Linked DNA regions of Callithrix jacchus. The protein of the gene in region 2 purifies or fractionates together with the protein of the main gene of each other region. This does not show direct contact. Links are inferred from orthologs where the notes say so. Each region holds a gene or a part of one and is shown on either strand. Other genes may lie near its edges.

What was found.
Region 1: the proteins of CCNL1 (region 2) and CSNK2A2 purify together in Homo sapiens (affinity purification with mass spectrometry; 4 studies listed by BioGRID and IntAct, with this or other methods). This does not show direct contact. The link is inferred for Callithrix jacchus from reciprocal best matches to the Homo sapiens genes CCNL1 and CSNK2A2.

The regions. Positions count from the first base shown.
Region 1 is NC_133521.1:16,079,327-16,083,734, forward strand, and holds the start of CSNK2A2 (casein kinase II subunit alpha'), read right to left. Parts: upstream 2,860-4,408; 5' UTR 2,490-2,859; coding exon 2,386-2,489; intron 1,943-2,385; exon of another isoform or gene 1,769-1,942; intron 1,594-1,768; coding exon 1,482-1,593; intron 1-1,481.
Region 2 is NC_133518.1:28,385,294-28,389,103, reverse strand, and holds part of CCNL1 (cyclin-L1), read right to left. Parts: intron 3,199-3,810; coding exon 3,078-3,198; intron 2,279-3,077; coding exon 2,214-2,278; intron 1,972-2,213; coding exon of another isoform or gene 1,947-1,971; exon of another isoform or gene 504-1,946; intron 422-503; coding exon 322-421; intron 215-321; coding exon 110-214; intron 13-109; coding exon 1-12. UniProt on the Homo sapiens protein: Involved in pre-mRNA splicing. Functions in association with cyclin-dependent kinases (CDKs). Inhibited by the CDK-specific inhibitor CDKN1A/p21. May play a role in the regulation of RNA polymerase II (pol II).

The DNA.
Region 1 (4,408 bases), on a different chromosome or scaffold from region 2:
TCCTCACAGATTCTGATCCCTAGTGTGTCTGAGAACACAAGTAACTGTCTATTTCTCTTTCTTGCAATTCTGCTCCTTCATCACTAGGCTAGGATGTATTGAGTGATGGAGTTGATCATTTTTCTGAAAGGTGATTACCAGAAAGCTAACATTGACCCCTCACATTAAACAGGGATTACCTATACAGCTGCCCTAACACACAGAAACAGCTTTTCAATACCACATTCTTAGTCCACAGAACCTCTGCAAAAGGGCCACACTGGAAATCACATGTATACAAAAGTGCTTACATTACTCTTCCATCTTCTCAATCTCTCACTGAATGACACGTGCCCACATGAAATAATCTGGCAATAATGAGGACCCATCAAAGATTCTACCAATTACTTTTTACCACACCCTATAAAACATTATTAAAGCTACACAATTAATCTTTTACCTGAAGGAAAATTTAGCCGACCCTTCATGCTCATTAAAATCATCTTCATCAAAGAGATAACAAAAGCACAGCATTATCAAACTGAGATCGCTAAACCATATGTTAAGAGTTTTGTTCCAGTGATTACTTTAGAAATCATAAGTGAATTCTATATTTTTACTAGCTGATAAGCAACAAAGGCTCTCTGGCTTTCTAACAAGGCTTCTCAGCCCTACTAGTGCACTATATCCACGCCACCTGAAACTTTACTGCCAAAGAAGAAAAAACAAGTGATTATCCACTAAGGAATTTCCTTCAACTTGGGCTCGCAATACATCTCTGAAGTCACTCCAGTTTTGTCCAGCTTTCTTTATGGAATAAGGTAGATCACGCACCAAGAGTAACAAACAGTGCTCAAGGAGACCTGAAATTGAGAATGGCTTTTTGGTCTTTTGAATACCTATTTATTTTCTAACAAATGGAGCCCTTTTGGAATTTCTGCTTTAGGCACCTATAATTTACATTTTAGAACACCTTCCTGAACTTAAGAGTTGGGCTTAGATTTGTGACCAGTCTGCACATTTCCTTGAAAGTTCACAGGAAAATGGGGTGGAAAAAGAAGTAATGAAGGGTCATCAGAGAAGTAAAATTTGAGTGTGGGCTGGGCACAGTGGCTCATGCTTGTAACCCCAGCAACTTTGGGAAGCCTGCAAGGAGTCGTTCTGGAGGACTGCTTGAGCTCAGGAGTTTAAGACCAGCCTGGGCAACATGACCAGACCCTGTCTGTACAAAAAAATTTTTTTAAATAGCTGGGCATGATGGCATGCACCTGTAGTCCCAGCTACTTGGGAGGCTGAGAAGGGAGGATCACTTGAGCCCAGGAGTTGAAGGCTGCAGTGAACCATAATCTGCACTCCAGCCTGGGTTACAGAGTGAGACTCTGACTCTAAATAAGTAATTAAATTCAAGCTTGCACTGCCCATTCTAGAATGTGACTGGGGTAGCTTACATCCTTTTGCCCTGTGGGGGAACAAATGTTATTTATCACTCATAGGACACTCACCTTGAGGATTTTTACAACCACTCTCTCATTGTTGGTGATGTTAATGGCCTCAAATACTTCACTATATTTTCCCCGACCAAGTTTTCGAACCAGTTGGTAATCATCTTGATTACTGTAAAAGGTAAGAGACAGACACACATAAATGCCAGGACTGGGGGTTAGCCAAGCCTATGCCCACTATACACGTCATCCAGCCGCTTCCGCCAGGCAAACACTTGGAAGTGTCTACACATCACGTCACAACTCATTCCCTAAATGAAAGCCACGACGTAATCTTGGCTCCCTTCACTCTGCAGAGCTCCTAACCTAACTGGTCTCTCCTAACTTGGGAAGATGGGGTAGAAAGGCAACGCTCTGAGCCAATCCAGAGGGGCGAACAAAGCACCCGTCCTGAAGGCCTAGAGGGTGCCCCCTCTGCCCCGCGGCTTCACAGCACCTGCTTCCCGTTTCACACCCTGAAGGTAGACAATCCCTGTTTTAAAAATGTGGACGTCTTTAAGAAATTTCCTCCCACTACCTCATCTCAGAAAACCGAAAAGGCAGAGAATTTTAATAGCTCCAGAGGACAGCTGTTGACTTCCCACCCTAGTGGAAACCCAAAAGTGTGAGAAGGGCTGCTCCCTCACTTCCACCCAGCGCCGATCCGTGCACCCCACACTTCTCTCCGAGTAAAAAAATCATTCCTTGGGGGAAAGGGGTGCGCAAAGCGGGGAGAAAGGGACGAAACCGGGGTAAAGGGGAGGGAAGAGGAAGACGAGGACATGTGCGAGAGCGGGACCTCTGTCTCCAGCGGGGCCGCGGAGGGATCGGCGGGAGACACCACCCCGGCCGAGTGCGGGTCGCGGGGGGCGGCCGGGCGGAGACAGGGGTCAGCGGGCCCGGCGGGGGACGGCGGCGGCTTTACCCCCAGCTCGGGACGTGAGACTCGTAGTCCCAGTACTCGCGGCTCCTCAGGCTGTTCACCTCGGCGTAGACCCGGGCCCTGCTGCCCGCGGCCGGGCCGGGCATGGCGGGCGGGACCGGGGGGCGGCGCGGGGCGCAGAGGGTGGCGGCGGCGGCGCGGCGGAGGGCGCGGGGCGGCGGGCGGAGGAGGCGGCTGGCCGCCGGGCTCTGGAGAAGGAGGAGGAGGAGCGCGGTAGCGGGCGGCCGCGCCAGGCCGGGCCCGCGGGGGCGGGCGGGCTGGGGGCGCGGGGGGCGCCGGCCGAGCCGGCCCGGCCCTGGAGCGGCCGGCGGAGCGGCGGGGCGGGCGGCGCTCGCGCTCCGCGGCGGTCTCCGCTCGGCTCGCGGCCCCCAGGAGGCGGCGGCGGCGGCACCGGCAGCGGCAGCCACCGGCCGGGAAAGGGGCAGCGGCGGCAGCAGCGGAGAAGAAGGAGGAGAGGAGGAGGAGGCGGAGGAAACCCGGAAAAGGGGCCGCGCTCACGGGGAGCGGCCGCCGCCCGGCCTGGGGCCGCCCAGGCTCACAGCGCCCCCTGCAGCGCGGGGGGACCCGCCGGGCGGTGCCGACCCCGCCCCGGCCCCACCCCAGCACGCCCCGCCCCCTCCCCCGCGCCCTCCCCCACCTTGGCCCTCCCGCTGCCCCAGGCCGGGCTGTCCAAATCGCCTCACCCTCCGGCTGGCCTTACCTCACGCCACAGGAGCCCCCACTTCCACTGGCCGTTGCCTTAGAACCCTCCCCTTCGAGTCCCGACCCTTTCAAGATTGTCGGTGGAGACCCTGCCCCCAGCTCTGCAGTTGCCCAGCTTTTACCCCCACACACCTCCCATACCCTCTTCTCGCCCAAACTGTCAAGTCTCTCTCCAGGGCCTCGCTCAAACCTCAGAACCTCTCCCACCTCAATACTTCTCCCTTCCCCCGAGACGTACCCCTCCTTCCCCCTCTGGACCCTTCCCTGTTCCCGCAGACTCCTCAGTCCCCAAGACTTCCCACCCTCTTCATTCAGAGTCCTCCTCACAAAACCCTTATACATTTCCCCCAAAAGCCCCTCCAGAGCCTTCCCTGAGAACCCTCTGAATACCCACTTTGGTCACTTGGTTAAGCTGGAGTCGGCCAGGTTGTGCCACCGCAAAGTTACAATTTTTCCCTTTGTGATTAGTAAGTCGCTTGTGGGGAGAGACGTTGAGAGTCTGTAAATCTCCTGTTTTTGTTGAGGAGGAGGGAGAGCAGGAGAATGTAAATTTGACCTGAAGGGACAGACTGAGATTGGGTATGCACCGGGATGGGTGGCCAGCTGAGCTGGCCTGGCTTCCAGTGTTGCCTGCGGCCCTGGACACTCCTCTCTTTTGACATTCTAGGCCCTTCTTCTGACTTTCTTTCTCATCCAGCATCCTTTCGCGACACAACCTCTTCACCCAGTCCAGGTTGCTCTGATTCCAATCCCTTTTCACATTCTGTTTTCTGGATGAAACTCTGGGCCTTCCTCCTTGACAAAGCTAAGAGCACAGACTGTGGAGTCAGATCTATCCAGTACTGCTGCTTACAAGCTGTGTGACCTTGGGCCAATTATTCAACCTCTCTGTTTCACAGATTCTACAGCATAAAATCAGTAATAGCACCCACTTCACAGGGCTGCAAGGAGAACTAAACAAAATAAACCATGTGAAACACTTAGGATGATGTTCAATATTAAGATACTATATGTCGAATATTATCATTACCAGACACAGGGCCTTGCTCCTATCACTCTTCCCTCCTTGAGACCACCACACGTCCATCTTTCAGTTCCTTCCATCCTCTAAGCTTGACTAGGAGCCACCCCCAACTCCTCCTCCCCACGTTCCCAAGGGTGACTCCTTTTTTCTATTCAAGTTTCACCTTTTTCTTTATTAGTAGTATTTTTTAGAGATAGGGTCTTGCAATATTGCCCAGGCCGGAGTGCAGTGGCTATTCATACTCCTACTACTGATCAGCATGGGAGTTTTGACGTGCTG
Region 2 (3,810 bases):
TTCATAGTTTGGCTGTTTAAGGAAAAAAAAAAAAAAAAAAGTTTGTGTTTCTCCCTTATAGTAGCTTAGACTCTTAGCATGTTGACTTAAAAGAGTAAATAGATAATACCTTTTTTCTGGTATAAAGCCTAAGTGTTTCTATGCAGATATCCTGGATTTCCTCTTCTGTAGTACCAAAAAGAAGAAACCAATGGGGACGAGTTGGCAATGGAATCTAAACCATAAGAACAGAATGGTTTAAATTTTTGTTATATCTGTATTGGAACCATGGAAAATTTGTGTTATTTATCCTACAGAACAAAATGGGAAATAGGCACCTACCTGAAGTGCTCTAGCTGCAAGGTAGATGCAAGCACATGCTATAGTCTCTGGTTGAAATCGAACAAAAACATTGGTTCGTAGACTGTCGTTCATGTAATTCCTGAAAAATATTTCAACTATAAGCTTGTATGTAAACAAACCAGTTCTTCTGAAGCTTACATAAAATTGGAGACTCAATCTACTTTATTCTTTTTTCTTCTCTTATTTATATTCACATCCTCATATTCTAGCATATAACAACTCTTAACTCAAAAAAAAGCAGTAAGCAGTAAGAATTTAATACGAGGACCATTTGCAGTTCTCCAATATATATGACCAAAGCCCCTTTAAATTATTTCGTATTACTATCCAACTAGAAATTACTCCTAAAGTATTATTTCTGTAAAAAGCAATGCTTTCAAAGTCAATTCTGACAAGATTAGTTTCAGAAATGATAAACCACTCCAACAATACTTCAAGCCATTAATTATTGACCATCTCTCCTTTATCCACAATAAAGCTGTGTCAACCAAGTTCATTTCAAAAGCTCAAAGTATCGTTAACAGGGGTAAAAAAACATTTTCAGTAAGTACCAAGTTAAACTTACATTAAGAAAGCTAAGATACTTTAGAAAATCTAGATAGGGAAGTAAAGAGCAATAAAAACATAATGGCCTTGTTTACATACCTTTTTTTTGTGACTAGGTAAAAGAGATAAACTATTTCAGTTAAAAAATTGCTGAACTTTTATTATTAATGAACTCTCCCCACAATATTCCTAAACTAATAAAGAAAATTTACAGGTCATTTAAAAGGTTAAGCTGAAATTAAACGGACGATTTCTAAAAAATCCTAAACCATCAGAACTGCTATAATCCATTTTATGAAACACATTTAAAATGTCATGCATTTTATAAAAGTAACGAGACTTTTCTAACATTACAAACATTTACTGAGTCCAAAAGAAGCATGGCAGTCATAAATAGGACATCTTGCTGGGAAGTCCAAAATATAAAAATTACTTCACTAAGTCCTTCACATCAAGTCTTAAGGAAACAGTAGTTGTGGCTGAACCACAAACTCCTTGGCTTGACCTTTAAATAAGCCAGAACGCAAAATCACACATCTGCATCTCAAAAAGTCCAAGTGCTAAAGCATTTAAGCAGTATAATAGTAACATCTCTTTCAATAACGAAGTGCTTCTTACTTCTAACATTACCAGCAATACAGCCAAGCAGCTATATAACTATATAAATTAAGCCAGTGTGGGAACTGGTGCCCATTTTAAACTGCAAGTTTGTAGTCTCCTTTGGTAGAATTCATGCTATACATACTAAAAATAAAAATTTAGTCAAACTCCTAATAAACCATTTAATTCATAATGGCTGGACAACAAATCTATCAAAAATGAACTATTCATTTTGATAGTTACAAGTATACATTAAATACATAGGCATGTCAAATAGTTACTTCTAGAAGCAAATATACAAATCCTTTTGACACCCCGACAGAACTAGAAGATGCTGCCAGATGGATATGGACCACTTCAGTGAATCTCGGATGAGAGCTTGCACTGGATTGGCTGGAGAGCAGGGTAGCCAATCAGGCCATCCTGAGGTCATGGGCTGAAGTGCAGAGGGCAGAGTTCTATGACTTACCATCATGGACTACCCTTTAATTAAAGAGTAGAAAAAAGAACAAAGTTAAATTGAGTTCTCCATTAAAAGTAATTAGTCAAGCCAAGAAAACAGGAAGCAGAAATAAGCATTATTTACCTTTTGGTTAAAAAAACAAAAACAACAACAAAAAGCCCCAAAACAAACTTATCTCATTATTTTGGAAAGGGAAACGAAACTTACTTTATTTCTGCTTCTGTTTTCCTGGCTAGGAAAGAAATCTAAAAAAGTGACTTACCAGGCAGTTTGAACCAGGGTTTGATTACGTTCACATTCTAAGACTTGTAAATACATAACAATGATCTGAAGGACAAGGGAAAAAAACTCAGTTTAGTATACTGGTAGTTCTTTCAGACTACAGAGTTCAATAAAAAAAGTAACTGAAAATGTTAGATTCAAGTTCTAATTCTACATCAATAAGACAGACCAACTTAAATGTATGTAAGATTCTAATGTGAATTGTATTACTAGATTTTTATATAAATTATGTTTAGAACTGTATTTCAAAATTGTACAGGAAAAAAGGCAATTAAAGAATATTTTTCATTGGCACTTTACCACGTGACGGGCACTGTGCTAGGAGATTATTTCACCTAATTTCCCAAGGTACATTTCTAGCCCAGATAGTTCTGACCTGAGCACTCGCTCTACAACTTATATTGACAATAATGAATGCTAAGAGATTTAGAGAGAAACAAATTTCCAATGTTTTACAGTGAGCAGCTACCACACTTAGAACATTCTACTATGATGTTAAGTGTGCCAAATACTTCTGTACCTACATATTTATCTCTTGGAACAAGGAACTTTACATCTCTGTTCTCTTGGTGGAAAAACTGAGACTTTAAACCACAGAAACAAAAATAACTTCTTTATGACCACAGAATTAAGATTTGAACCTAGATTTTTGTACTCTCAATTTTACTGATCAATCTCAACACCCAAAAGAATGTTTTTTGATGAAGCCTGAACCTTTAAAAAAAAACGCTTTTTATTTTAAAACCAAGGTTAACACTCACATAGAAACATAAATTCATATAAAGTAGAAATTTTGGAGAAGTCCTAATACTTACGAACCCAATTTCTGTACTCTACAACTCACCTTATGAGGATGCTTGACATGAACACAAAATCCCAACTCCTTTAGCACCCTCCTCTCTGCTTTGATAACTTGATTTTTGGTGTTAATGTAGTTCTGATCAAGGATCAGGGGGCTTGGAGTCCTATAGTTTGTAAGAAATAAAATCAAAACTGTTTTGCACATCCAAAAAATTTTATTTGTGGCATCTCCATTTTCCCTTCCAACCAACTATTGGCAACAGAAACCAGCTTTTTAAACTCCTGCAAACAAGTTAAAGCATTAATCTTGTGCTGTCCAAGTTATGCTAATTAAATATATACATCTACGAGACTAAGTTCAACTAAATTCTATAATGAAAAAAATTCAATCTAATGCTCTTGGGTTCATCCTTGTCAACTTTTCCATTCTGCTTATATTCTAGGGGTGTGTGTGTGTGTGTATACGTATTTAACTTTAGTGATAGTGTGATTTGTTATCACAAACCTCAAAGTCTAAGAGACTTTCCACTGACAAAACTAGTATGCTCCAGGCTGGTCCGACAGCAGTGGGTTATCAGAACTTACTAACATCAGTGTCACTAAAGTTGGTAGACAATCCCCCACTGCTAAATTTGACTGGCTTAAAAAAACACAAAAAACTAACGTGCTCCTAAGATTTACAGTACTATAAAGTCCTCAAAAGATCATACTGATTTTTTACTCATTCTATAAAATAACAACTGTTGGCTGGTTTATGGCCAAAATTTTTTAAAAAC